Callithrix jacchus: one gene and its partners. The protein of the gene in region 2 interacts with the protein of the main gene of each other region in a biochemical or structural test. Links are inferred from orthologs where the notes say so. Each region holds a gene or a part of one and is shown on either strand. Other genes may lie near its edges. The genes, in order: CDC42, EIF2AK2, PRKRA, TARBP2 and EIF2A.

Region 1 (6,043 bases), on a different chromosome or scaffold from region 2:
CCACATCCAGCTAATCTTTTTTTTTTTTTTTTAAGTAGAGACAGGGTTTCACTATGTTGGTCAGGATGGTCCCGATACATTTGTCTCTGCCTCCCAAAATGCTGGGATTACAGGTGTGAGCCACTGCACCTGGCCTGAAACCTTATCTTCTGATTTCTTTGTAAGAAACCTGCTTTGTAGCATGATACTGTCATAGTCAGCTAGATCCAACCTCCTGAGTGCAGGTCTCAGCTCTGCCACTGCTTGGCATGGTGGCTTTGGGCAAATCTTAACACCTCTGAGCTTCAGTTCATGCAACCATAAAGTAAGGGTAACAGTTCTTAACTCATAGGGTGGCTGTGGGTATTAAATTAGCTACTCCTACCCGCAAAGCTATTAGCCATACTGGCAGTAAATGCTAAAAGATGTAGTTCTTACTCTTGTGTAATGAAAAATTCCAAAAGAAAGTATGACTTTATATTAAGTCAAATATACTGGAATTAAGTGTCTTTGTTGGCCAAATAGCTGTGGCACTAATCAATAAATGAGCTGTTATTAAGACAAGCTATTTAAGCTATTTTTCTCTAACATAGGGAAACATCTCAAGAATAAGAGACGGAAGTTCTCTACTTTGCTGAAGCTTTCAGACTAGCAGAGAAAACAAATAATAAACAGATACTGCAAAGATAGGATGGTTGGAGAAGGCAGTGATATTTGAGGGTTGAGAGAGACAACCAAAAGTCAGGGGAAGAAGAGGGAGGCAGAGCAAAGAAAGTTCAAGGCCTTGGCTCACACCTTGTAAACCCAGCACTTTGGGAGGCTGAAGCTGGCTGATAACTTGCATCCAGGAGTCCGAGACCGGCCTGGGCAACCCAGCAAAACCGTGTCTCTACAAAAAAATAAAAAATTACCCAGGCACAGTGGTATGTGCCTGTGGTCCCAGCTACTCAGGAGGCAGAGGTGGGAGAATTGCCGGGAGGTCGCGGCTGCAGTGAGCTGAGATCATGCCACTACACTTCAGCCTGGGTGAAAGAGCAAGACTGTCTAAAACAAACAAACAAACAAAAATCAGCGGCTGTAGTTGGGGGAAAGATTGTAAGTCATGTGACCCATGTGGCTACGGCAAGGGACACTGGGGTGTAGGTAGAGTTAAGAAGAGCGGTATTCAGTTCTCACGTCACGTCGGACTGAATACAGGCCAGGGGGAATGAGAGGCTATCCATTCCTCTGATCTGGGGCAAGTCACCAGCCCTTTCAGAGAAGCCTCCTCTGAAAATAGGAGGATAATACCTTGCTTTACAAGGTTGCAGGGATCAAAATAACTGGCAGTGGGCTGGGCGCGGCGGCTCACGCCTGTAATCCTAGCACTCTGGGAGGCTGAGGCAGGTGGATCACTAGCTTGAAGTCAGGAGTTGAGACCAGCCTGGGCAAAATGGCAAAACTCCTTCTCTGCTAAAAATACAAAAATTAGCCTGGCGTGGTGGCAGGTACCAGTGATCTCAGCTACTTGGGAGGCTGAGGTAGGAGGACGCTTGAACCCAAGAGGTAGACGTTGTAGTGAGCTGAAATCGAGCCATTGCACTCCAGCCTGGGCAACAGAGTGAGACTGTGTCTCAGAAAAACAAACAAATAAGAAAGAAGTGGTAGTGGAAGCTCTTTGCAAACTACCATTACCAGTATTATTACAAACACAATCATTGGGAAAAGATGCAGAGTATAGCCCGGAACTCTAGCGGCGCCGACCCACACGTGCTCGACAGGCGGGCGGAGCCAGGGCAGTCCAGGCACCGCCTGGACCCGCCCCAGCCTCTTCCCCTTCCCTGTTCCTCCCACTTCCGCGGGCACCCGACTGTGCGTCTCCTGCGCGCTGACGTCAAGTGCGTGCCCCTGTCCGGCAGCCGAGGAGACCCCGCGCAGTGCTGCCAACGCCCCGGTGGAGAAGCTGAGGTGAGTGCGGGGCCCGAGGGTCCCCGCGGGAGCGGCTCCCCCACCTTCCCGTCCCCGCTGTCCCTGTCCTCTCCCAGTTTTCGGGGACACCTGGTCTGCGAAATCTCGGGACGCCTGGGAGCGCGGGTCGCGGGGAAGTGCCCGGCTCGAGCTGCGTCCTCCGGGCGGGCGGGAGTCCGCGTTCTGTGGGGGACCCGGGGCGGGGGTCGCGGCCGGGGAGGCGGTGGGCGCCCACCCGTGGTGGGGCGCGCGGCCGGGGCTCGGGGCGCGAGCGGGGCCGGGCTGTCACCGGCAGGGGCGGAAGGAAGGGGTCACACCCATCCCGGGCGCCCGGGCTCCCTTCCCCCCAGCCCGGCCCCGCGGGCTCCTGAGGGTGGCAGGGGCCCGGGTGCCGGGGGCCTCGGAGCGACTCGCGGGCGCCTGAGGCGGGCCGGGCGCCGGTCCCCGGTCCCCACAGGCTGGGTTTTGTGCCTTGCGCTCCAGCCCGACTTCCTGCTTCGCCGGGCGCAGCCGCGGACATTTTGCGGCACGGGGGGAGGGGAGCGGCGTTGCGGCCGCAGCGGGGCGGTGTCGGGAGGGCGGCTCGCGGGCTGCCCGCTGCGGTGCCTGTCGGCGCTCCCCTCCGCTCGGGTCGCGTCGTCCGGGCCGGGTGGCGCCGAGCCGCGAGCTGCTCTGTTCCTGCCTGAGGTCGAGTTCCTAGCATTTCCGTCCTCTTCTCCAGCCCGCTCCCTACCGATTCAGCTGAAGCTTCCCTTTCGGGGAGTTACTTAACCACCTCCCGAAACCGTCGTTCTGCTGCTTGCTTAATTCCTCTTACTGGGGGGAAATTTTCTTTGTTCGTTTGTTTTTCCTCCCCTTTAAGTCTTAAGAGAAATGCAGTGTGGAAGATTACGTCATCGCAGTATAAGAAGTGAGACTTAACTCCTACAAGTCAGGGACTTACAAATTGATACCGCATTTTGCAGCTTTAGTCGGTCACCCCTTGGCTTATTCTGCCTGCTTCCCAACGCATCGTAATCAGATGATGTTTTGAAACCTTGTTACTGTGGTCATGGTCGCCTTCAATGCACCTAAAAGCCAGGAAGTAAACCCCAGGATTAGCTTGTGTCAGGGAATAAAGTATAAGACAAGCTGCTTGCGTGGGCATTAACTTTAAATTGAGGTCCCTTTGACTATACTAGAATGAAGTGGTTTTATTTGTGGGAACACTTTTTCGGTCCAACATGACTTTCCCAGACTGTTTGGCTTCTTTATGACTTACTGCATGCCGAGAACCTCCCTAGTTGATTCAAGTGCACTTTTTGTGGTGCAGGTGTGTTGAAAAGAGGATCAGTTTCCGCCTGGTCTGTTAGACATTTTAGTTTTGTTATTAAAAACGAGACTTGGATTTTTAAGCAAAAAACTTAATGTTTTCATACTTTTGAGATCACAATTTTTTTTTTTTTTTTTTTGAGAAAAGGTCTCAAAGACGTTACTAAATACAATGGATATTGCACTTCCAGGCTAGAGTGCAGCCCACCTCAGTCTCCGCCTCTCGTGCTCTAGTGATCCTCCCACCTCAGCCTTTCGAGTAGCTGGTACTATAGGCATGTGCCACCACGCCCGGCTAATTGTGTGTGTGTGTTTTGCCATCTTGCCCAGGCTGGTCTGTAACTCCTAGGGTCAAGCAGAGATCATAATTTTTCTTTCCCTAAGCATTTATATCCTAAATTTTATATCCTTCCGCGATTACAATAGTAACACAGAAAAATGTTAACACTGTAAAGCAAATGAGATCCAATTGTGTAATGCATTGTTGTAAAGATAGTTCATGTCGAAACAAGTGCTTTCCCACTGTTTATCATTTCTATAGAGAGAACAGATTGTTAAACAAAAGGAGTGTTGGTTCAAGGCAGCTTTCTGTAGTGTGTAGGCATTACAGACCATGGGATAGGTGTGGAACTTGGATCTTCTGAAATACATTTGTTAGCCTTGATGTGATATTTTAGGAATATAACATTGGAACGCATCTACTACCTTATTTTCTTGAGCTTGCTATATTTTAGAATTTTAAATAATACCAATTTTTGTCTTTCCTTTTAGAAAATAACCTTGGTTTGGATGTATAGTTTGGATGTATAGTTTTTATACTGAGATGGAGATAAGAGACTGATAATCAACTGAATATTAAATGAGCTTGTTTTCAGTAATTTCTAAAAGACCCAAAAGGTATTACATCCTCTATTTTCCCTTAAAATGTTTTCAGATTACAACCAACACCTGTTCTTATTAAACTTAATTTTTTTGAGATTCTAAGGCAGATGCTATAGCCTAGAGTAGTATGGGGACCTAAATAACAAATTGGTTGAGTTTTTTGTTTTTTTTGTTTTTGTTTTTTTTTTCAAGATAGGGTTTACTCTGTTGTCCAGGCTGGAGTGCAATGGTGTGATCACAGCTCACTGCAACCTCGGCCTTCTAGGCTCAATCCTTTCACCTCAGCCTCTGCAGTAGCTGGGACTACTGCTGCATGCAACCAGGCCTGACTACTTCTTGTATTTTTTTTGTTGAGATAGTGTTTTGTCATATTGCCAGGCTGGTCTGGAATGCCTGTACTCAAGCTATCTGCTCCTGTTGGCCTCTGAAAGTGCTGGGATATAGGCATGAGCTGCTGTGCTGTGGACAGGCTTTCTTGGAAGTAAAAGACAAGTTGTACTTTTATTTATAGATATGTTTTAAATGCACTTCTCTATTTTAGTTTGTCTTTTTTTTTTTGAGAGGATGAGAAACACTTAATGAGCACCTTAGGCTGCAGGGCTTCCTTTGAAGGGGGGGAGAATGGGGTTAAATATTGTGTTAACATATTTTCCCTAAACCCTCTGTATTAAAGGGCTTGTATAACAATGCCTCATTCAGTATTCTCTTCCACATACATTTCTTCATTAGATTGTAAGTTCCATGAGGGCAGGGCATTGACCTGGCATGGTCACCCCATTGCTAATGCCTAGAATACTGTCAAACATATAGTAGGTTTTAAGAAGTATTTTTCAAATGAATGAATTTGGTGATGTCTGAGGGTTAACATTTTCCCTTTCTGCATATTCCATGGGCTTTTGTGCTGTGTTTCCTGAGACAACTTTTGTGCTTGGTCAGCCATATCTTTATTTGGGCTCATTGAAGTAGTGATTACTAATCTACTCTTGCTTGACTTTTTCCATCTGTTTAGTTCAGTATCTTCTGCAGCTGCACTGTCTGGAAAATTTACCATCACTTAGGAACTCTATGATGATTAGTTCTCTTATTCTCCTGAAAATTATTCACTTAATGTTTGTTTCCTTAACTTCCTCTATTTCTTTGTTTGCAAATAACTTATTTTTGCCACTTGTTCACTACCGTATCAGATTCCTGGTCACATTATTCTTTGTGTCTTACTGGTTTCTACTTTTAGTTTCTCATCCCTTCAGTCCAAAAATGTTTTTACTACTTGCCATTTCACCTACCTCTGCTGCTGCTGCTATTTTAAGTCCTGAATGTCAGAGCTCTTCTGGGACATTGGTCTCAAACTGCTTATTCCGTGAAGTGAAACTAGCCTTTTTGCCACCAATGTGGTGTCTCTCCTTGTAATTTTAGAAAAATATTTTTAAAATCAAATATTTGGCGTTAGCCATTATGTTAAAGTCCAGAACAGTTTCTAACAGAGCAGAAAATTGTATTGTTAAGTCATGGTATTCACTAAGCATTGGTGCCTAGGCTCTGTTACTTACTGTTCTGTAAAGCTTTACACTTTAACCTTGTATCCTTTTCAGTTCTGCTGTGTATTCTTGATTGATGTATTCCTACTATAGTGATTAAAATAATAGACTCTGGAACCAGACTGCCTGTGCTCAGATCCTGGTTCTGCCACTTATTAGCTATGTGCAGTGTAAGTAACGTCTTTGTGACTCAGGTTTACTTCCTCTAAAATAGGGGTAGCGATAGTGCTTACCTCACAGTGTTGCAGGGTTGTTAGGAAGATTGAATATGTGATGTGTTTAGGACTGTTCACTGGCACATAGTGAGTGCTGTTTGGGTTTTTGCCCTTAGCAAAACTCTGAGGACCCTTCCCCACCATCTTTGAGAAGATGTGTTTCCCTTAAACATG
Region 2 (5,407 bases):
ATATAATGATTTGCAAATAAATGCAGAAGTGTAGGCATCAAGTTCCTAATCTTCAGAATGAATTAGCAAAATTCTGACTGGTGCCTATCCACTTATTTACCAATTGTACCCCGCACTGTGTACTCTGTGTCATAGACTGGTCTTTCCTTGCATCTATTTGCAGAGAATTTTTGCTCTGGCTACGGTTGCTCAAGGGTCAGACTTAATTATTTTTAAATTAAAACAAATTTTTTGAGACAAGATCTTGCTCTTTTGCCCAGGCTAGAGTGCAGTGGTATGATCATGGTTCATTACGGCCTTGATCTCCTGGGCTCAAGCAGTCCCCCGACCTTAGCCTCCTGAATAGCTAGGACCACAGGTGTACACCAGCACACCTGGGTAATTTTTTGGTTTTTTGTAGAGACAGGGTCTAACCATGTTGCCGAGGCTGGTCTCAAACTCCTAGACTCAAAACAATCCTCCTACCTCAGCCTCCCACAGTGCTGGCATTCCAGGTGTGTTCCACTCCACTTGGCCTCAAGCTTTGATAGTGAGACTTCTTTCATCTTCTGTCACTTTTCTAGCTCTCACTACTACAGCTGTTGATTTCTCTCTTCTAAGAAAAGATTCAGTGAAGGTGTACACTTTTGGGGTTATGCTTTGCAAAATAGCAGGTGTAGGTGGTTTTGCCAGAGAATGGTCTTTACCCAATCCAGTCCCTCTTATAAAAGTCTCCAAATGTTTACCACTTTCTGTTGGAATCTTAGAAACTAGACCAAAGGTGCTGGGAGGGGACATAGGGGTTTCTGGAGTGAGGGCGTTTGTCCGAGGCTGCTTCTCTCTAAAATGTTCAGTCTCCTAAAGCCCCGGCTCTTTGGCTGTCCTTGGCCTGAGCATCAGCCCTGTTCCTGTGCCTCCTATGTGAAGTTTCACGCCTTTTTTATGCTCTACGACCCTATATTTTATCTAGTCATACTATAGCTGATTAGACAAAATGTGGCATTATTGTTTTTATTTCTTTTTTTTTTTTTTTTTTTTGAGACAAGTTCTCACTCTACTGTCCAGGCTGGAATGCAGTGGCATGATCTCAGCTCACTGCAGCCTCAACCTCCTGGGCTCAAGTGATCCTCCCACCTCAGCCCCCAAAGTAACTGGGACTGTAGGCACAGGCCACCAAGCCAGGCCAATTTTTGATATTTTGTAGAGACAGTACTTCACCATGTTGCCCAGGCTGGTCTCAAACACCTGAGCTCAAGTGATCTTCCAACCTTGGCCTTCCAAAGTTTGGGATTACAGGCATGAGCTTCTGTGTCCAGCCTCTTATTCTTTTATTTTCTTTCTTTCTTCCTTTCCTTCTTTCTTTCTTTCTTTCTTTCTTTCTTTCTTTCTTTCTTTCTTTCTTTCTTTCTTTCTTTTCTTTCTTTTCTTTCTTTCTTTCTTTCTTTTCTTTTCTTTTTTTTTTTTTTTTCATGAGACACAGTCTCACTCTGTCGCCCAGGCTGGAGTGCAGTGGAGCAATCTCGACTCACTGCAACCTCTGTCTCTTGAGTTCAAGCAATTCTCCTGCCTCAGCCTCCTGAGTAGCTGGGACTACAGGCACCTGCCACCATGCCCAGCTAATTTTTTGTATTTTTGGTAGAGACCATGTTGGCAAGGTTGGTCTTGAACTCCTGGGCTCAGTCTGCCCACTTCAGCCTCCCAAAGAGCTGGGATTACCATGCCTGGCCCACTTTTTCCTTTTAACAAACTATAAAAAGTGATCTGATATTTTTACTACAGAGTCTCATCCAGCTTGGATATTTACAGTTTCTTAGAGTCAGGCGAGATAGCCTTATATGGGACCAGCAGTTTCACTTGCAATCCCAACATATTCCTACCTGTAACTTGAGCATAGCATAGGAATCTTTTCTCTCCACATCCACCCCACGTCTGTCTTCAGTCTTCCGTCTGTATTATTAGTGTTAGGCTCCAATCTGTTAATTGAATTCTACCCATTTTTATTAATACCCATTTTTAGAATGAAGCAATATTCCTGTTCTCTCTCCCTCTTTTTCTTCCTCTTTCTTCCTCTCCTTCTCTCCTTTTTTTACTTTTCAACATCCTAGTTCCTCACCTCTACTCAATACATTCCTCTGAACACCTGATTCCTTGTGATTCTCTGAAACCTCCAATCCATAAAAGAAAAAAAAAATGAATTCTAATCCAACTGCTAATTTCTGCATGGCCGTCATCTCAGGCTGGCTTCTTGGAAGCTCCTCCTTCAGCCTTTCCTGGGCCAATAGTCTCTTCCCTCTCAGGTTCTTTACTAGGTAGGCCCTCTCATAAGTGTGTTATCCCACAGTCTGTTTGTATATAGCCTAAGATTGTACTAAAAGTCCAGCCTTTTCAAAAATGGCAAAATACTAGTTTTCTCATCAACTACGTTTCTGTTTTTATGGTCTTTAGAATGTTGGTCACTATGGCTTCAGCTTGGTGGCCTGTGGTCCCAGCTACTTGGGAGGCTTTGGTGGGAGGATCACTTGAGCTGAAAAGGTCAAGGCTTCAGTGAGCCATGATCACACCACTACAATCCATCCTAGACAACAAAATGATACCCCATCTCAAAAACAAACAAACAGAATATTAGTCAATACCTCCTATGGGCTGGGCATGGTGGCTCATGCTTGTAATCCCAGCACTTTGGGAGGCCAAGGCAAGCAGATCACTTGAGGTCAGGAGTTTGAGACCAGCCTGACCAACATGGCAAAAACCCGTCTCTATTAAAAATACAAAAAGATTAGCCAGGTGTCGTGGCACACACCTGTAATCCCCCAGCTCCTTAGGAGGCTGAGGCAGGAGAATTGCTTGAACCCAGGAAGCAGAGGTTCTGGTGAGCCAAGATCACACCACTGCACTCCAGCCTGGGCGACAGAGCAAGACTCCGTCTCACAAAACAAAACAAACAAACAAAACACCTCCTATAAAGCTATGGAGTCAGAATGACCACTTCTATTCAGTTCTTCCTTTTTTTTAAAAAAAAAAAATCTGCTTAAAGAATTGCATGGATAAAAAATATTTCAGAGCTAGTTATCATCTTCCAATTAACTTGGTATCCTTTCAAGGTGGAAGGGATATGTTTAAGAAGTTGTCAGAGGCTTGGAGAAATTGACATAAAAAAGACCCCCAAGAGGCCAGGCATGATGGCTCACGCCTGTAATCCCAGCACTTTGGGAGGCCGAGGTGGGTGGATCACCTGAGGTCGGGAATTCGAGACCAGCCTAACCAACATGGAGAGAAATCCTGTCTCTACTAAAAATACAAAAGAATTAGCCAGGCATGGTGGTGCATGCCTGTAATCCCAGCTACTTGGAAGGCTGAGGCAAGAGAATCGCTTGAACCTGGGAGGCAGAGGTTGCGGTGGGTGAGCCGAGAACGCGCCATTGCACTCCAGCCTGGGCAACAAGAGCGAAACTCCGTCGCAAAAAAAAAAAAAAAGACCCCCAGGAGAAATTCTGCACAGGCTAATCAGCATTATTGTTGGGAAGGATCCATTTAGAGAATCTCAAGGTTGGAAGGGATCTTAAGGAGGTCCCTATCAGATAATGGACTCTTATTTACAACATTTCCTCAACTGGTTGTTCAGCCCTATCTTGGGATGGAGAACTAACTCCCATTCTTTGGACAACACTATTAGGATATTAGGATATTTTAAAGCAAATCTTTTGGTCATTTCCACCCTGTAGTCCTGGATCTGTTCCCTTGGACCGTGCAGAGTGGATCCACTTGGCATGTTACTGCTTTCCAGAGGGATAGCTGTGCCCCAAGCCACCTTTTCTGTGAGCTAAGAAATCCTCACTTCTTTCAGCTGGCATTTTAAAGACCAGTGATATTAAATTCCCTGATTTTGGCTCCCTGTGTAACGGTAAAGCTCTTATAAGTAATATAAAATGGCCATTGCTGTGTATGATTAAGACATGTGGTAATAGTATGTGAAGTCAGTACATGTAAGTTCAATTTTTTTTTCATAGCCAAGTAATATATTCTTAGTAGATACAAAACAAATAAAGATTGGAGACTTTGGACTTGTAACATCCTTGAAAAACGATGAAAAGCGAACAAGGAATACAGGAACTCTGCGATACATGAGCCCAGAACAGGTAAGGTTTCTTTCCTGTCTCTCTATATTTTACTTCTTTTATTTTTAAAATTATAAAAAGAGTAGACACTTCTTATACAATTAAAACAGTATAGAATTATATAGAATAAGAATCGAACATTCCCCTTAACATTCTTCTCCACCTGCATTCTTCTCATCAGTTTGTTCTTTTAGATAATTTTCTGTGAGTTATAAAAACATGCAAACCCAAATATACACCCAGACTTTTTTTTTACATAAACATATATGTGCATACATTTTTCAAGGACTTGATTATTTTTTTGTTTTGTGACTATATAGCATAATCTCTCCATATTAGTTCAACAAGAGCTGCCACATTCTTTTTTTTAACTATATTGTATTTCAAAATGTAGAGCTACCATTATTTAACTATTTTATCTTTATGTTTTATTTATTTAATCTTTAATTTTTTTATTTATTTAATCTTTTTCTGTTGTTGTTCTTACTTAATTTATTTTTTTATTTTTTTGAGACAGAGTCTCGCTCTGTCACCCAGGCTGGAGTGAAGAGGCTCATTGCAACCTCTGCTTCCCAGGTTCAAGGGATTCTCCTGCCTCAGCCTCCCAAATAGCTGGAATTACAGGCACCCACCACCATGCCTGGCTAATTTTTACATTTTTAGTAGAGACAGGGTTACACTATGTTGACCAGGCTGCTTATTTTGTTTTAGAGACAGGTTTTTCTGTTTCACCCAGGCTAGAGTGCAGTGGTGTGATCATTGCTCCCTGCAGTCTCAAAATCTTGGGTTCAAGCAGTCTTCCCACCTCAGACTCCTGAGTAGCTAGGACTAGAGGCACATACCACCATGCCCAGCTAATTATTTTTATTTTTATTATTTATTTTTATTTTTGTAGAGATGAGGTATCACTATGTTGCCCAAGTTGTATTTAACTATTTTCTTATTGAAGGGTATTTATTTAGGTTGTTTACAACTTTGTACACCTATCGACCTTCCTCATTATTTTGGGGCCCAAGAACAAATAATTCTATGATAATCTATGATTGATATCTTGAGGTGAAATGATTGAATAGGCTGACAAGTGCATTTCAAACTTAATTGCTGTTTAATTGTCATTCCCAAAGAAAGTGATTCTAATAATACTCTCCCCTCAAAATGTATGAGAATGCTGCGTCATCATACTCTCAATCAAACAAGGGTATGATCAGTGGTCACTTTTGGACCATGTGTTGAATTAGGAATATCTTGTTATTTTAGTTTGTATTTTCCAGATTTTTAGTAAGGTATGCCCTTTTTTCATATATTTACTTATC
Region 3 (6,207 bases), on a different chromosome or scaffold from region 2:
AGGGACAGTATCCCTGCCCTCAAGAGCTAACAGCCTAGTGTGTAATTTTTGTCTGTTAATAGGCACCTGAAATATGGAACGGGATATTTTACAACAAGCCTAAGTGCAGGCTGTAGCAGAGTACATAAAAGCAGCAGCTCTTTTACTCTTGGTCAGGATTCAGAAAGGTTTCATGAAGAAAGAGATAACTAAATGGAAACCTAAATGATGAGTAACAGCTAATAAAGAGAAGAGAGATGGGGTATTAGAAAGAGCATTCTAGGTAGAGAAAGGGCACCTGCAAAGGCTCAAAGGCAACATACAGTACAGTGTTCTCAAGAATCCCAACTAGTTGGCTTTGGCTAAAGTGTAAGAGCTTTTTTAAAGTGTAAGAAGCAACGCTGTAAGTCATGTTAAGAAATGTGCAATAGGCCAGGCACGGTGGCTCACACCTGTAATCCTAGCACCTTGGGAGGTCGAGGTGGGTGGAATGCCTGAGGTCAAGAATTAGAGACCAGCCTGGCCAACATGGCAAAACCCCATCTCTACTAAAAACACAAAAATCAGCCAGGCAAGGTGGCACACGCCTGTAATCCCAGCTACTCGGGAGGCTGAGGTAGGAGAATCGCTTGAACCCGGGAGATGCAGGTTGCAGTGAGCCACGATTGTGCCACTTCTTTCCAGCCTGGGTGTAAAAGTGAAACTCTGTCTGAGAAACAAACAAACAAATAATCAAACAAACAACATGTATTTATCCAGAGGGTTATGGGGAAACCACTGAATGGATTTTGAGATGAGGAAGACATCTGAATGCTAGAAAGTACACTGGTTGTTAGGGCTGGATGAGGTGGCTCACACCTGTAATCCCAACACTAATAGAGGCTGAGGTGGGAAGATTGCTTGATGCCAAAAGTTCAAGACCAGCCTGGCAATGCAGTGAGACCTTGTCTCTACTAAAAATCAGAAACATTAGCTGGGCATGGTGATGTGCACCTGTAGTCCCAGCTACTCAGGAGGCTGAGGCAGGAGGATTGCTCTAGTCCAGGACACTGAGGCTGCAGTGAGCTATGCTCACGCCACTGTACTCCAGCCTGGGTGACAGAGCAAGACCTTGTCTCGAAAAAAAAAAGCAAGACCAACTTGTCTCAAAAAAAAAAAAGAATACTGGTTCTCATGTGACAAAAGGACATCACGAGACTAGAAGATAAATGTACAGCTATAGGACTGCAGCTACAATCCAAGTGAGAGATGACAGTGGCCTAGGCAGTAGCAATGGCCAGAAGAGAGAAGCAGATAGATGCAATGGATATTTAGGAGATGGAGTTTAATGACAGACTGGACAACAGAAAGAGAGATGGGACGTAGTTAGGAAGACAAACCCACATTTCTACTGAACTAGTTGATTATGGAGACTTTACAGAGAAAGGAAATGCAGGGAGAATGGGTTTGAGGGAAAAGATGAATTCAGTTTGGGACAATGAGAGGCTTGAGGGGCTTCTGTGTAATCCAAGCAAAGATGCTCGACAAGCATAGACAGATACACTGTTCTGTAACTGGGCTTGGGATGAAGATAGATATTTCAGAATTATCAGCCTTTGGATAGTATTGGAAGCAATGGAGGCAGATAAGCTTGCCCAGGAAGCCATGGTAGTGTGAGAAGAGGGCATAAGCAAAACAGTTGCCATAGGCTGTCAGTCTGGGGTCTAAAACACATTGAGGGGAAAAAAGCCTCCTTTTTCTTGAATTCTTCCCGTTTATCCAGAAATAGACTAGCTAAAGAAGTAATGCAGTGTTGACTCTGGTTCCCATAGGGACCCTTCCGGCCAGCACCTACAATGTAACTGCCTCACACAAAAAGTTTTAAACTTTTCTTAAAGTGGCATCAATTAAAATAAAGGACTCTAAACTTCCAGGGACACAAACAAATGCTGCCTTCAGATTTACCAGATGGTAGAACTTGAGCCTTCCGACTAAATTTTTTTTTTGGCATTCTTCCAAATTAAATTTAGCATCCAGTGTTTTGTGTTTGCAATTAAATAGATACGTAAGAAAAATAATGTCCACATTTACAAATGAGCAACTTCAGTTATTTGCTCAAGCTCACAGACCAAAAGAAGGCATGAACTTTGAAACTTCATTGCTATGTGACTTCATTGCTATAGGCATGTTACTTAAAATCACTCTGAACCTGTATCTTCTTGTGTAAAAGTGGATAATATACAAAATATCTGTTCAGTTTCAAAAACTAGAAGTTATTATACAATATAATATATGAGGATCTTCTTTCTGCCCTTCCTCATTTTGCTTGGATACAGAATCAAGACTGGTACAATGGACCTAAAGTACAAATGAAAATTCTGGGGTCATGCCTGCTGGCATCTGCTATAATCTGTGAAACTTCACAGTACCTACTGGCCCAGCTATGGCTGCTCCGAACCTTTCCTGCTTCTCTCTAATTCTTAGAGGAACCCTAGAAGGATCCTAGGGTATGAGAGGAGCTGTGCAGGATGGCTGGGTAACTTTTTAGTTTCTGAGCTTCTTTGGTATCTGGGGAAGAGAAAATTAATTGGGAATAGAATTAGATGAGGATGGGAAGTCCTAGCGACCTGAGATGAGAAGTCTGTTTCAGAGCCTGTTCCTTAGAGCTGTCTGGTAAAAAGAGCACTTTTCTGAATTGAAAAGCAACACCAAATCTTGAATGCCAACCCACTCGGTCATCCATGTTAACTGTGTATACAGACCTGTGCAGGTTATGTCACCAACGGTTACTCTGAAGGTGAAAGTGGGTACGTGTATTTGCACATCAGATCTTTCACATTCATAAACCGGGATGTTCTTGGTCTTCATGCCGTATTCGTGTAATACCTGAATCGGTGTTTTCCCTGGCTTAGCTGTTATCATCTTCCCCAAACTGCAAAAACCAGAAAAAGGTGTGCTTTGCATGCCAAATTGGAGATTAAAGCAGAAGCGTGCAGAGGCCAGTTTTGACCGCCACCGACGATGACGCTGGAGGCGCGGAGTTTCCCGGCGGCCAGGGCCAGAGCTGGCGAGGCTGGGGCGCACCTGTCTTCCGGCCCCGCTGCGGCAGTCACCCCGCTGGGGCAGGCGGGGTGAGCGAGGTCTTTAGAGAAATAACTTGAATGCGGGTAAGAGATTCTCAACAGAACAGGGCTGGCAGCAGCGCCGCAGCCTTAGGACCAATCGTAAAAGCCTTTCCCGGGCGCGGCGACCGCGCACCACCTTCGCAAGCCCGCGCACCGCCGTGGGCCAAGAAAGGGGCGGGTCTCGGCCGCGGACCCCAAACCGCGCCGCCGAGAGGGCGGGGCCGAGCGCCCGCAGCCTCGGAAGTTGGGCTGCCGGGCAGGGGCTTTACCCAGAATGCAGCTGGAGGGCCGGCTCCCCGCGCCCCGGCCCCGCCTCCCGACGCTCCCGGCCCTGGGGCCTCGACTACCCGCACGCTGACCTGAAGGTTCCGCTGTCCTCGCGCTCCAGCGGCGGGGCCTCGGCGCGGTGCCTGCTCTGGGACATGGCGAGAAAGGACGGCTCAGCGGCGGGAGAAGAGCGGTGCCGAGCAACGTGCTTGCTCCCCGTCCCCAGGAGGAGTTCTAGCGCCGCCGCCTCCTCTAGCTCCCCCTGCTCCTGCCTGCGTTCCTCCGGCGAGGGGGCGGGCGGGGCGGGGGCGGAGCCTTGGTGCCGTAGCTCCGGCTACGCCCCCTCGCTGTCCAGCTCCGAGCCTCGGTCCCGGCCCAGACCCGCCCCTGTCCCCTCCAAGGTCCGTCCCCTCCAAGGTCCGTCCCCTCCCCGCCCGGCTCCGCCCCTCTGGGCTCCGGCCTTTAGGCTCCCGGGGCTTCTCTGCGTCCGCCCCTGCCGGCGCCGGCCAGCCAGCAGTAAGGCCTCAGTTCTTTGTCCTTAGCAGGAAGCCTTGCCCGGAGAGAGGAATTGTCCGGCGTGGGTCTAGGGTGTTTGAGGCCTGAAGTTAAGCCTTTGTGGGAAGGACGGATTGGGGACTGGGTCACTTTAAGAAAACGATTTCAAAATAACGAAGGCAGAATTGCTAGGAGACTCCCCGGGCCTGGTCCCGAAGCTTGAGACCCCGGATATATCTGCTCCAGGGGGCTGCGGTGGGCTCTCCGGATCCCCGAGCCCTGTGTTTAGGAACACGCGGAGACGTCCAGAGACCTTTCCTCTCCCGCCAGGCGGGCTCCTTTGTCTTCTGGGCTTCCGCTGCGAGATGGAACGCTGATCAGTGCATATAAACGAAGGCCTTTCTCTGGCCCTGTGTTGTAATGGCGTTTGCCTGGGATGCAGCACCTTTGGTGGGCCATTAGATGTTGTGTCTCTTTTCCAGGGGCTTGCTAGACATTTGCAGAAATGCCCCCCTGTGCTTACTCGTTGTTCTGGACGATTGCTTTGTACAAGCTATCCATTCGAAAGGATGTTATTAAAAGTGATCTATGGCGGGGCGAGGTGGCTCACCTGTAATCTCAGCACTTGGGAGGCCTAGGCGGGTGGATCGCTTGAGGTCATTTGTTCTAGACCAGCCTGGCCAACAGGTGAAACCCTGTCTCTACTAAAAGTGCAAAAATTAGTTGGGACTGGTGGTGTGCACCTGTAATCCCAGTTACTTGGGAGTCTGAGGCAGGAGAATCGCTTAAACCCGGGAGGCGTATGTTGCAATGAGTGGAGATCGCACCACTGCACTCCAGCCTGGGCAACAGCGGAAGACTCTGTCTCAAAAAAAGAAGTCATTTATTATTTTGTTAGCATGTGAGCCCTGGATGTTTGAAAGCAAGTGAAAGATGTTCAGGATCTAATCAAATGATATCGTTTGATGCTTTAATTAGAGTATGAATAGAGATTACTATCCGTCACTGTTTTAATGAGTATCTTATTGGAAGGGCTACGCAGTCACCATTTCAAAATATATTAACGTATGCATAACACCTATGGCAAAACATTTCAGCACTTGGGTAAAATTCATTTTTAGTCACAAAATCACTTAAAAACAGGCGAAAACTTTAAATAGCTCTTGTTAAAGGTTGAGTAACTGGGATAATAATGGTGAAATAAAAAGATACAGCAGGACTCCATTTCAAAGAAACAGAGTCTGTGTGCCAAACTTCAGAATAAGAAACCACTAGGTAATAGTTTATATAGTTACTTATATGTAATGTGACTTTGTTTTTAAAATAAAGATCTGCATATAATTGTTTCTCTATAGTCTGAATTCATATTTAATATTAAATAGTTTTATAAACATGTAAGATGGAAGGTGAATGAAATGCTCAGTGAACTGTATGCCGTGAGGATTCAAATCAGCACTTTTGTGTTGCCAAAATTCTAGTGGTGGACTTGTGAAGGGATTCCCTTTGGACTAGGTCCACTGTAGATGGTATCCGGGACTATCGTTAGTGCCTAAATCGCGTTGCTTCCCACAGGGCTATATGCTTCCCTTAAAATTGGTCCACTGCAGTGGCAAATCACTATTTACTGTGATCCTTATAGACTTTAGTCATATTTTTATGTTATTAATTTTCTCTGTATATTTTAGTGCTATAGCCTGCCATTCCAAATTAAACGTGCTCTTAGCATATCATTTTACACCGTTGATCTATAATTCATTACCTGAGCACATGAGTGGAGGCAGTGAATTATACAGTAGTAAACTACTTGGTGAAACCAAGCTTTGTATTTATAAGGTGTATAATTATATTTAAAAACAAGCAATGCTTAATTTTGTGCCTGATTTTCCTCTTTGAAAATGGATTTATCTGGGGGTTGCAGTTGATGACGTTTTGATATTAATATGTTTGCTGCTGCTACCAAGAGCTTTGTCAAGCAAGTTGGAGATGGAGGGAGATTAGTTCCTGTTCCAAGCCTCAGTGAAGCTGACAAATATCAACCTCTAAGTCTGGTGGTAAAAAAGAAGCGATGCTTTCTGTTTCCTAGGTATAAATTTACTTCAACACCTTTTACACTGAAAGATATTCTCTTAGGAGACAGAGAAATTTCAGCTGGTAAGTTTAAATGTTTCAGAGTGACAACTGAGTCGTTGGTATTACTGGTAAGCTAAACATAGGTTATATATCCTACTTACATTAGTAATACACATTCTCAATGATTAAAGCAACTTTTATTGTGATGGTAGTAGTAACATTATTAAGATCGACAATGCCAAAAGCTTATATAATATGAAATCTCTTATTGGTCAAATAATTTTCAAATCTA
Region 4 (6,022 bases), on a different chromosome or scaffold from region 2:
TGTGTACTCCGGCAACCGCCAGCCTTTCTGCACCACCAGCTCCTTGGAAAGGAGACACAGGGTGCATGAGGCTGGGTGAAAAAACGTTTCTCACACCCACGAGGGTCCCCAAGCAGGAGCCTCAGACTCTAGGTGAGAGGAAGGAGAGAGGTAGGTGGAAAGGGCCTCAGTACCGGGAACCGCCCCTGCCCCCGCCCCCAACCACATACCACCTTCCCTCATAGCCCCTGGCTCAAGGGAAGACAGGCATGCACAGGAAATGAGGATAGGGCACACCTGTAGAGCACCGACAGGGTTGCATTCAGACTGCTGAGGGGAGACAGGGGGCTGCATTTCCATGGGGGGGCTCCTGAAGGAAAAAGGGCACAGGGCCAAAGTTGAGCTGAATAGTTCCATCTGAGCCTGCCCATGAGCTTCAAGCCTAACCACTACTTTAGATTCCCGACTACCATCTCCCAATTCCCACCAGGCAGGCAGCTGTCTGTCCACACATCCAGCCTGCTCCTTCCTGCTCTAGCCGGCTTCCTTCCCCCTCCCACTCAAGGAAGGCCTTCTCCAGGCCCCAGCCCATTTCCATTCTGGAACACGGCTATCATCTAAGCCAGAACAGTGGGAGAAGGGCTGTACTTCCAGTCCCAGAAGTGCCTGATGGGTCTCAAACACAGAACTGACATGCAGTCAAACCCAGAAGAAAATGGGGCTGCAAGCCCCTTAAACATGGTGGAACATCATCCATAAGGCTATTTGAAAATCACAAATGACCTCCTGTCCCAAGAGCTTACCAGCAGGTGTGATTTCTTCAAGTTCTGGTTCCCACCTATTCCATTCTGTTTATTCTCAGACTTCCTCATTCCTGACCAGCCTGGGTCCAAGGACTAAGGAGCCAGAAACCAGAATCCCTTCCTCCACCCCCTTCAGGCAATCAGGGGACACAAGATACCTGGTTAGGACAACAGATGGAACTGGGGTAGCAGCTGCTGCAGCAGTAAAAACCGGAACGTCCTCAGGCAGTGAAGAGTCTAGGGGAGAATAAGAACTTCCCGAGGGGAAGGGGGCCTTTGATTCACACCCATGTATAGGGGGAAGAGAGGGGTAGGGGACCCAGGTCTTCCTGACCTGCCCATCCCCTAAGAGAACTTCCAAATTGAGCCAAAGGATCAGGGAGCCTCAACCAACAGCTTCCTTCTGGGATCCTGTGCTGCCAAACACTGGCAAAAAGACCGAGAAAAGAGGGTCTCAGAGAAGAGGGCCTCTTGGTACCCAAGAACCAAGTAGTAACAAACGCCGAGCTGCGTGTGGAAGAAGGACATCTTGCTAGAACAAGGAGGCATGGTGGGAAGCAACTCCCTTTAGTCTCAGTCTCTACCCCTCTCCCTCCCTAACCCAGGCCCCAAACTACTGCCATAACCCCTCTGTGGGGCTAACCAACCCCCCCCCCAAGAATTCTTCATAGCAGCAGAGGCCCTGGAAGACTCTGTTCAGGTCCAGAGGGACTCTCAGGAAGAGGCCAGGTCAGGGTGGCTAAGTGTCACCAGGCCAGGCCTGGGGGCAGAAAGGTGGTGCAGGGCCTGGGTTCCTCGAAGGGCTTCTGGGATGCCTCGGTTCCTCCCTCACCTGCTGTCCTCCAGGGCCGGCTCCAGCATGCTCCCCCCTTTGAGGTGTTTGAGGGCCACCTCAGCTGCCTTGTGCTTGGCTGCCTTCTTGCTGGGGCCCTGACCTGAGAGAGGGGGCATGGGCAATACTGGAGGTCACTGGAAGGACAGGAGAGAAACCAGCATCCCACAGCCTCTCTTCTCACAGCCAGAGGGAATCAATCAAGCCCCCTCTGACCAACCTCCTCCTGCTGAAGACTGGAAGTGTTTCACTAATTGCTGGAAGGAATAGCCCTTATCTTTCCATTAGCTTCCAGAATTAGGCCATGCCAAGCAGGACTTCTGAACTCAAAGCCTTAGGTGGACTGCTGAGCTCAAATGCCTTAATTTCCTTTGCAAAGCACTTTCTTTTCCCTCAATAAATAGCTGGAAAAAGAGAGGGTAGGCTCTGGAGTAAAAGCCCCACGTGACTGTGCACCAGCCATTTATTATCTCAAATACTGTTTCCTCATGTTCAACCTGGGCAGGCGGGGTGGGGGGGATACTGCCACCTACATCACTGGTTAGACTGAAGTTTAAAATTAAATGGGAATTTGGTTAAGCACCTGGAACAGAGCCCAGCACGCCAGGAACTCACTCCCCCAAATATTCCACTGGGATTTCAGTTATCTTCTCTTACTTTTCCTCTAGGGTGATGAGGATCCGCCAGATCACTGTGGCAGTCCTGCTTGCTCCTCTAACTCTCCCACATCCTACCCACCTTCTGACAACCCTGTTCTCCCAATCCAGTCAGTGGCTTTTCCCCTGAAAGCTCTCCTTCCCTCACTGGCCTTGAAGAGGACTGTGAAGACAGAGACTCCAAGAAACAAAGCCATGGGGACCTATGAATGCGCACCCCAGCCAGGCTGCCCAAGCCTTCCTCACCAGTGCAGCTGGTGTCGCCAACGGTGACCCGGAAGGTGAAATTAGGCTGGTGGGCTTGGCCCTCGGCTTTGAGAAGGTCGTACACAGGCGTCTTTCCTATTCTGGTCCCATACTCCTGCAGAAGGCTGATCGGGGTCTTGCCTGGGTTGGCGGCCAGCATTTGCTCTATACTGGGGGAAGGGGCACAGACCGACATCACACCTCCCCTCTCTGCACCCACCTGGCCAAGCACTGCCATATGAGACCTAGGCACATTATGGGGGACATAGGGTCCAGGGGAACCCCAAGCAGTCTAGCATCTATTGACTGGGTTCCAAGTGGAGGTGCAGGCTGGAAAAGTAGGGTCCACTACCCCAAAGCAAGGGGGGAAGAATGCACTGCTTCTGCCTCAGTTAAGGTAGGCACGTTTCTGTGCCCCAGTGCAGGTTGAAAATGCATACCCCCTGACATACTGCAAGCCAGGGACCCAGTACCCACCAAATGCACTGAATGTGGGGGCATAAAGCCCAGTGTTCCAGTGCAGTCTGGGAACCGGGCCAACCCCAAACTATTTAGAGCTGGAGGCAGCAGCCACTGCCCCGGTGCACGCCGGGAACCACTGCCCACTGCCCCAGTGCTTGCCGGGAACAACCCCCAGGCCAGGTGCATGCTGGGGCCCCGCTGCTACCCCCTCCGCACAGCCCCACGCTTTTCGCCCTGAAGGGATCGGTACGGGGCGGCTCACCTAGGCAGCCCGCAGCCTGTGGTAGTGCCGGAGCCTTGCTCCTCTTCACTCATTCCCTCCTCCGTCCCCGCGGGCGCCACTGTGACTGCAGCCTCCACGCGCCCCAATACACCGCAGACGAGCTAGGGCCGGGGCCAAGCCCGGAGTCGCGGCCGGTAGGGCCCGCCGCGGGGCACGCTGGGATATGGAGTCCCCCGCCCACCCTACTTCATGAGCCTCCATCTGGAGGGGAGCTATCCGCCCCACAACCCTCCGCGTGGCTGGCCTGGGCAGGCTGCGCCGCCTTCTGGGAGGGGCGGGCCCTTCGCCGTCGCTTCCCGAGAAGGCCGTATTTTTTTGTTTGTGATATTGTCCCGCCTCCTTCCTTCCGCGCCCCGGGTCTCCCGGGCAGTGAGGCTGTGGACATGCGTACTAGCGGAGTGGAAGCCAGGGGCGGTAAGGACTCACTCGGGCACGGGGCCTTTTGGATTCCAAGAAAACTACAGAACCCAGGAGCCTGCGCGCCATCTTTGTCGCAGCTGGAGGGGCAGGGTCAAGCACGCACGAGAAGCTTAGCGGCGTCATTGGTTACTCCCGTTGCGTTTACTTCCTCTCGGCGCACTGAGATTGGTTATTTCGACTAAACGGGCGGGGACAAGGAAAAGTCAGCCCCCCTGACCACGCCTGCTTGTCAAAGGAAGGTTGTGATTGGTCCGGGGAGGCTGCCTTCGGATCCTGGCTTATTGCGGTCAGGGTGGGTCTTACCCAGACACCGGAGAGGACCGATCTCTGCCTCCACAGGGCGCTGGAGCTGGTGCAGGTCCATGTCCATCTCAGACAGTCCCCTCAACCCTCAGCTTAAGCCCCTGGCTGCTGGGCCTTCGTAACGCAGAACTTGTTTCCTTTTTCTAGGTTGTCCTTCACCTCCCTTCAGGTTTTGCTGCTTTTGTAAGCCTTTTTAGAACGGCTCTAGTGAACCTCCCTTACACTGGCCAGGAAACCTCTGGGTCCTGAAAATCAGGTTATAGTGGGACGATAGGATTAGAAGGACTAGGCACCTGGTGGTCTCGTCCCCTCTGCCGTGAGTCTTGGGTCTTTCAGCTGAAGAGAGCAGGAGTGAATTTTGGCCACCTAAGACTAATCAACTGATCTGGGTGTACACGAGCAGATGCTCATTTCTTAGTCCTAGAGCCCCATTGCCTTCTCCCCGAAAGTCGCACAACCACCGGGCTAAGGGAAATCTTGTGACCTTGGAGAGAGATCACATTAAAAAAAAAGAAAGAAAGAAAGAAAAGGGTTCTAATGAGTCTTCTGAGAACCGGTCAAGAAAGAGATGTCTTACTCTGAGCCGGGGTAGGGTTGGAGATCCAGAGGAATCTTGGAATGATAATCCAGGAACAGTGGAGGAGGATGGGGCCTAGAGCTGAGTGAATTCCAAGTGGGTTAAATTCGAGTGAGCGGTGACAATCAAGGGAAGGAGAGCTGGCAAGATCTGTATGATAGGGGAGCTATGCCAGGGTGCTAGGGATCCCATGTGAGGGGCTGCTCTCTCCGGTGTAGAAAGGAGTCTATAGGACGGGTCATAGAGGGTTCCTGCGAAATCAGCCTAAGGCCCGAGGTGGGACCTCCATAGGGCACCGCCAGTAGGGAGGCATGGGGCCCAGGCGGACCAGGGACGAGCCTGGAGCGCGCCGGATGGCAACAGCAGGCTCCTTTAAGAGGCCGGCGGCTCCATCGCAGCATCCCCCGCTCAGGGCGTGTCCGTCCCGGGGGGCCAGGGGCGGGGGCCCTGGAAGGAGCGGGAGTTCAAGCCGAGCTGGGACGAGGCTAGGGGTCGGGAGGTGGGGGCAGAAAGCTGGGGCTGACACCCGTGCATCCGGACTCCGCACTAGCATCGCCTGTGACAGCGCCCCGGGTCCGGTGGAGGGCAGCGGGGGGAGGAGGGAAGGAGGAGGAGAAGGAGGAGGAGGCGGGAGCAGCATCCGGAGCTGAGCTGCAGCAGCGCCGCCTTTTGTGCTGCGGCCGCGGAGCCCCCGAGGTGAGATCCTGGCCGAGTTGTGGGGGGGTGGGGGGCAGGGATGGGTCCGGGTCTTGGGATCCGGGCGTGAAGGGAGGGTCGGTATGCAGATGTGGCCTGGTGCAGGGTGGTGGCTTGGGGATGCTGAAGCTGTGTAGATGGAGGGACTGGGGACCTGGACCCGACGCCTGTGGGGCTGGGAAGGAAGGGAATGGAGCCGAGGGATGCCGCGGCCCAGCTTAGAGACGAAGGGCCTCCAGAGCTGGAAAGGACCGTATTGGGGTGGTGTGGAGGGTGACTGGGGGACAGACGTAAAGGACAGAGGGCAAGAGAACATCTCCTCCCACTCATCCTCAGGAAGGGAGAGAGGGAAGGAGGAGGGAGAGTTTTGGCCCCCTCCAGGGAAGGAAAGGAAGGGCAAGGACTGATGTACCTACCATCTCCCTCCACACACACACTTAGCAGGCTGGACCTCAAGATTAGTCAGAGAGCACCTGTTCCTGGATCCCAGGCGTTGGTCCCCCTCCCCTTCCAGCTGTGATCCTCCTAATCTCCGCCAGCTGTGGCATTCACCTCCATCCAGCTGTTGCATCCTCCCCTCCCCCATTCACGTGTGGGTTTCTCCGTCCTCTTTCTCTCCATCTCCTCTGGCTCCCCTAACCCATCTCCCCCAGTCAGGCCCTCCAAAAACCTCCTCCCTTTCCCACAAACACTCCTCAAACTCATTGGCTTAAAAATAAGCAAGAGTTGAGACTTGCTGGTAACCAAGGCCTTGACTAAGAGGAG
Region 5 (5,407 bases), on a different chromosome or scaffold from region 2:
GGTGAGATGAATGACCATGGCTGTAACCTGCAGATTGAGCTGCAACTGTGAAACTAGCACTAACTTCTTTTTTCTTCTTCCCAAGTTCATGGATAGGTTTATTCTTACTGTAGATCTTAGCAAATCAATGTACAATATTTTTTATTTCGTATTAAGAACTTTCATCTTTTCACTTAATGGAAATACTTTACGGCTTCTCTTTGGTACATCCAAATTGCCAGCATCACTACTCTGTGCTTTGGGGACATTATTAAGTAAAATAAGTGTTTCTTGAACACAAGCACTGTTGAAACTATGATAGTCAATCTGATAACCAAGACGGCTACTAGTGAAAAATAGGTGGGGACTGAATACACTGTGGATACGCTGGATAAAAGAATGATTCTCGAGACAAAGTCTGGTCGCTCACGGAGCAGAAGATCCCCCAGTGGTGGAAACACACGGGTCGCCAGCGCGACTCTCGTGGTCGGCGCAGCGGTTCCGCCGAGGTCCGGCGCGGCAGCTCTCGGAGCAGAGTAAACAGACCGCTTCCCCTTCTGACTGAGGTTTGGAGCCCCGGGAAGGCAGAGTCGCCTACTACGGAAACAAGAAGGAAGCCCGACAGGAGAATCCTGGGCAGAAAATCACCATCAGTTTTAACGCCGCTGCTCTGGCCCTGGGAACTAACAACCTGGACGTCCACTCAAGAGACCTAATCTGAAAGTTGGTAATTTCAAAGATGAGAGGAGGATAAATTTACAATGACGGGAAGAAACCAGCGTAAAAAAGCTGAGAATACTCAAAGTCAGAACGCCTCTCCCTCTAAAGATGATCACAGTTCCACATCAACAATGGAACAAGGCTTGATGGAGAACGAGCGCCTCCTGATGACAGAATCACTCTTCAAGGAATGGATAATAACAAACTTCGGTGAGTTAAAAGAACATGTTGTAGCCCAATGTAAAGAAACTAGGAACTTTGAAAATAGGTTTGATGAAATCCTATTGAGAATAGACAACTTAGAGAGGAGTATGAGTGAATTAATGGAACTGAAGAATACAATACAGGAACTCCGAGAAGTATGCACAGGTTTAAACACTCGAATTGTTCAAGCAGAAGAAGGGATATCAGAGGTCAAAGTCCAACTTAATGAAATAAAACGTGAAGAAAAGATTAGAGAAAAAAGGATAAAAAGGAATGAGCAAAGTCTCCAAGAAATGTGGGACTATGTGAAAAGACCAAATTTACGTTTGATAGGTGTACCTGAATGCGACGGAGAGAATGAATCCAAGCTGGAAAATACCCTTCAGGATATTATTCAGGAAAATTTTCCTAAACTAGCAAAGCAGGTCAACATTCAACCCCAGGTAATACAGAGAACACCACAAAGATATTCCTCAAGAAGACCAACCCCAAGGCACATAATCGTTAGATTCACCAGGGTTGAAACGAAGGAGAGGATACTAAGGGCAGCCAGAAAGGTTGGATAACCCACAAAGGCAAGCCTGTCAGACTTACAGCAGATCTCTCAGCAGAAACTCTACAGGCCAGAAGAGAGTGGGGGCCAGTATTCAACATCCTCAAAGAACAGAACCTTCAGCCCAGAATTTCATATCCAGCCAAACTAAGCTTCACAACTGAAGGAAAAATAAAATCTTTTATGAACAAGCAAGAACTCAGAGATTTTATTACCACCAGGCCTGCTTTACAAGAGCTTCTGAAAGAAGCATTACACACAGAAAGAAACAACCAGTATTAGCCTTTCTAAAAATACACCAAAAAGTAAAGAGCACCAACATAAAGAAGAATTTACACCAACAAATGGATAAAACAGCCAGTCAACATCAAATGGCAGTAACCCTAAATTTAAATTGACTAAATTCCCAATCAAAAGACACAGCCAAAACCCAACGGCATGTTACATCCAGACCTGTTTCACATGCAAGGATACACAAAGACTCAAAGGGATGGAGAAAGATTTACCAACCAAATGGAGAGCAAAAATAAATAATAAATAAATAAAAAGCAGGAGTTGCAATTCTTGTATCGGATAAAATAGATTTTAAAGCAACAAAGATATAGTGGTAAAAGGATCAATGCAACAAGAGCTAACGATCCTAACACCCAGATAGGAGACTTAGATTCAATGAGACAGAAAATTAATAAGGATATCAAGGACTCGAACTCAGATCCAGAACAAGTAAACTTAATAAATATTTATAGAGCTCTCCACTTCAAGTACACAAAATATACATTCTTGTCAATACCACATCACACCTACCCATTAGTTTAAATAAAACATTGATTGGCCATTATTAATACCCAATTTTTTTCAAAATAAAGCAATATTTCCATTTACTCTCCCTCTTTCTCTTCCTCTTTCTTCCTCTCCTTTACTTATTTTTTTTTTTCTTTCCGTCCCTCAAAAGAAAAGAAATCAACTTGTAAACCTCTAGATCCAGGTCGGCAATGTCTCTTTCATTGCTTGATTTCCTTTCTTCCCTTCCCTCCCTCCCTCCCTCCCTCCCCGCTTCCTCCCTTCCTTCCTTCCTTCATCCCTTCCTTCCTCCCTACCGTCCTTCTTCCCTTCCTTCCTGCCTTCCTCCCCCCCCAAAAAAAAAAAAAAAAAAAAGAATGATTCTCACCCTTGGCAGGATGCTGAGAGATTTCATCACACAGCTTAAAACTTATGAATTGTATATTTCTGGCATTTTCCATGTAATATTTTTGGGCTGCAGTTAACCCTCGGTTACTGAAACCATAGAAAATGAAAGCGTGGTTAAGGGAGACTTCTGTACACAAAGGCCAAGGGCAAAAGTATACAGCACCTTAGCGAAAATAAAAGTGATTCAGAATCGGGGTCCTTCAGTGAGGAAGGACAAGAAAAGTTATCAGAGGTCTGATCATATTGGAAGCAACATAGCATCCCTTTAAGGGGAAAAAAGTTTTGTGGTTCTTTGTTGCATAATTGAATTGATCTGATTATAAATTAGTATCTGTAGGATTCTTATTCTTGTAGCATAATCCATTACATATACTTAATCATACATATTCTTCATAGTTTTGGAGAGAGCCTTGTGAGAGTGAAACTTTAAACACATTAAATAGAAAAGCCCTCTCATGTGTTCAAACCATCCATCTATCCATCTACTGGCACATCTCAGAATATCCAAAAGTTTGGAATGCTTGTTGGCTGTACAGAAACCTCCTAGTTTACTCTGATAAGGTCATTTTATTTCTAATATGGGAGTATGTAGCATACTTCATGAGACCTTTAATTCAGATTCTTTATATAAAATGTAGGTAAAATCACATAGTTTCTATATTTTATAGACCAAAGCTGTGATGGCTTAAATACTGTAACGTTTTTGGTTTTTAAAATTGAATTTTAAAAAATATTTCCTGTAGGAAGCAAGAAGTGACAAGAGTCCAGATTTGACACCTACTCCTGCCCCACAGAGCACGCCACGAAGCACTATCTCTCAGTCAATTTCTGGGGATCCTGAGATAGACAAAAAAATCAAGAACCTAAAGAAGGTGAGAAACTTAGATGAAAAACAGATGTGCAAATTGCAAGGCATAAATTAAAATTACATAAATAAGGTAGTACTTAGATGCCTAAAGACAGGAGCTAAGAAGTTTATATTAGCAGTTCTCATTGTTGCTTTCTCACTATAAAGTACTGTCACTTAGTAATGGTACCGATTTTAGTTTTGTCACAAATGTCTGAAGGCTCTTAGTAATTTACTGATTTTTGGAGTAATAAAAATCAGTATGCATTAGCAGAGAAATATACTGAAAACTTTTTTTTTCTTCTGAGATGGAGTCTCGCTCTGTCACCCAAGCTGGAGTTCAGTGGCACAACCTTGGCTCACTCCAACTTCCGCCTCCCAGGTTTAAGTGATTCTCCTGCCTCAGCCTCCTGAGTAGTTGGGACTACAGGCGTGTGTCACCACGCGTGGCTAATTTTTGTATTTTTAGTAGAGACAGGGTTTTACCATGTTGGCCCGGCTGGTCTCTAACTCCCGACCTCAGGTATCTACCTGCCTCAGCCTCCCAAAGTGCTGGGATTACAGGCATAATCAGTATTTCATTAGATACCTGTGAGATAAGTAGGACCAGATATTTATCCTAGTTTTGAAGATGAAGAGACGGAGACAAAAAGAGAAATGTATTGACTTGTGATATTGCAGCCCGTGTGCTGGGGTGGCCCTGGGGATAAAACAAGGTCTCTAGAGCCCTACACAGCTGCATTATGAGATTTCTCTTTCATTCATTTTTTTATTGGGTAGGACTTTGGACCAAAAATCTTTCAGAATGCTCTCACTAAGATTTCTCTCAAAGCCAGAAACATCACCCGTTCCAGTGGGGCATTGAAATGTGCCATTACTGATACATTTACATATACATATACATATATGAGAACATTAATTAAAAGCCTGAGAAAAATATTTTGCCAAATCTCATGTTTTTAACACTTACAATTTTGCATTTAACTTTAACTTTAAAAAATAGTTTTATCGTAGCATTTTAACAGACCATTTTTTATACAAATGTAAGATAATTAATCTCCTTATTTGAGTTTCACATTCTTAATAAGGAAATTTGCATCTGAAGTGACTTCCTTCCTCTTGACTCATATTTGATATTTGCAGAAACTGAAAGCAATTGAACAACTGAAAGAACAAGCAGCAACTGGAAAACAGCTAGAAAAAAATCAGGTACTTTCTGCATTTTCCATTTAGGCTTGTGACCACCACCCTTCCCCCATTTATTATAAACAAATATCTAGTCACGTAAATGAGCACATAGATTTTGAAAACTTACTTTGAAAACCATATGCCATATTCTATTTAATGTTTTTATTTTTAAATAGCTTTACTCTTAAACTTAAATAGAGGAGATATGGTATTGATCATGGGAATAAAAGAGTCCATGTTCTTAAGAGGCGTACTACGCTGTTACTGATGAAAATAATAGCAATTTGTTATATTAGACAAATAGAAGATTCTCTTCCTTTCCATATCTCAAGTTGTACTGCCCTGTTTACCTTTTCCCTACTCCTTTCCTCAACATTTTTAAACCCAAATATAGTATTGAAAATTTATTGGGCACAGAGGGATGCAATAAGACAGTGTCTGTTCTTTTTTACCCTTGATTCATACCAGATAACAAATTAGAATTTGTGTCTAACCAGCATTTTAAAATGTGTGTTTACTAGTGAACATGATAAATTGTCAGAAATATCCTATATCTGTATTATTTTTATTACATATCCAGTACTTGTTTCATAATAACTTCATTGTTTTAAATTTTTGTAGTTGGAGAAAATTCAAAAAGAAACAGCCCTTCTCCAGGAGCTGGAAGATTTGGAACTTGGTATTTAAAGATTCACAGAGAGCAAGTTGATGACCAGAAATCAGTGCAA

What was found.
Region 1: the proteins of EIF2AK2 (region 2) and CDC42 form a complex in vitro, tested with the Homo sapiens proteins (2 studies listed by BioGRID and IntAct). The link is inferred for Callithrix jacchus from reciprocal best matches to the Homo sapiens genes EIF2AK2 and CDC42.
Region 3: the proteins of EIF2AK2 (region 2) and PRKRA form a complex in vitro, tested with the Homo sapiens proteins (3 studies listed by BioGRID and IntAct, with this or other methods). The link is inferred for Callithrix jacchus from reciprocal best matches to the Homo sapiens genes EIF2AK2 and PRKRA.
Region 4: the proteins of EIF2AK2 (region 2) and TARBP2 form a complex in vitro, tested with the Homo sapiens proteins (2 studies listed by BioGRID, with this or other methods). The link is inferred for Callithrix jacchus from reciprocal best matches to the Homo sapiens genes EIF2AK2 and TARBP2.
Region 5: of the proteins of EIF2AK2 (region 2) and EIF2A, one has a biochemical effect on the other in vitro, tested with the Homo sapiens proteins (4 studies listed by BioGRID, with this or other methods). The link is inferred for Callithrix jacchus from reciprocal best matches to the Homo sapiens genes EIF2AK2 and EIF2A.

Annotation. Positions count from the first base shown.
Region 1 is NC_133508.1:58,816,753-58,822,795, forward strand, and holds the start of CDC42 (cell division control protein 42 homolog), read left to right. Parts: upstream 1-1,875; 5' UTR 1,876-1,926; intron 1,927-6,043. UniProt on the Homo sapiens protein: Plasma membrane-associated small GTPase which cycles between an active GTP-bound and an inactive GDP-bound state. In active state binds to a variety of effector proteins to regulate cellular responses. Involved in epithelial cell polarization processes.
Region 2 is NC_133515.1:77,866,368-77,871,774, forward strand, and holds part of EIF2AK2 (interferon-induced, double-stranded RNA-activated protein kinase), read left to right. Parts: intron 1-3,986; coding exon 3,987-4,115; intron 4,116-5,407.
Region 3 is NC_133507.1:49,634,493-49,640,699, forward strand, and holds the start of PRKRA (interferon-inducible double-stranded RNA-dependent protein kinase activator A), read right to left. Parts: upstream 3,508-6,207; coding exon 3,443-3,507; exon of another isoform or gene 3,405-3,442; intron 2,891-3,404; coding exon 2,721-2,890; intron 1-2,720. Other genes in the region: PJVK (pejvakin), read left to right, coding at 3,506-3,866. UniProt on the Homo sapiens protein: Activates EIF2AK2/PKR in the absence of double-stranded RNA (dsRNA), leading to phosphorylation of EIF2S1/EFI2-alpha and inhibition of translation and induction of apoptosis.
Region 4 is NC_133510.1:66,045,710-66,051,731, forward strand, and holds the start of TARBP2 (RISC-loading complex subunit TARBP2), read right to left. Parts: upstream 3,425-6,022; 5' UTR 3,294-3,424; coding exon 3,241-3,293; intron 3,117-3,240; exon of another isoform or gene 2,994-3,116; intron 2,687-2,993; coding exon 2,517-2,686; intron 1,718-2,516; coding exon 1,615-1,717; intron 1,209-1,614; coding exon 1,117-1,208; intron 1,037-1,116; coding exon of another isoform or gene 1,020-1,036; coding exon 941-1,019; intron 350-940; coding exon 277-349; intron 43-276; coding exon 1-42. UniProt on the Homo sapiens protein: Required for formation of the RNA induced silencing complex (RISC). Component of the RISC loading complex (RLC), also known as the micro-RNA (miRNA) loading complex (miRLC), which is composed of DICER1, AGO2 and TARBP2.
Region 5 is NC_133518.1:34,658,520-34,663,926, reverse strand, and holds part of EIF2A (eukaryotic translation initiation factor 2A), read left to right. Parts: intron 1-3,387; coding exon 3,388-3,516; intron 3,517-4,634; coding exon 4,635-4,700; intron 4,701-5,300; coding exon 5,301-5,366; 3' UTR 5,367-5,407. UniProt on the Homo sapiens protein: Functions in the early steps of protein synthesis of a small number of specific mRNAs. Acts by directing the binding of methionyl-tRNAi to 40S ribosomal subunits.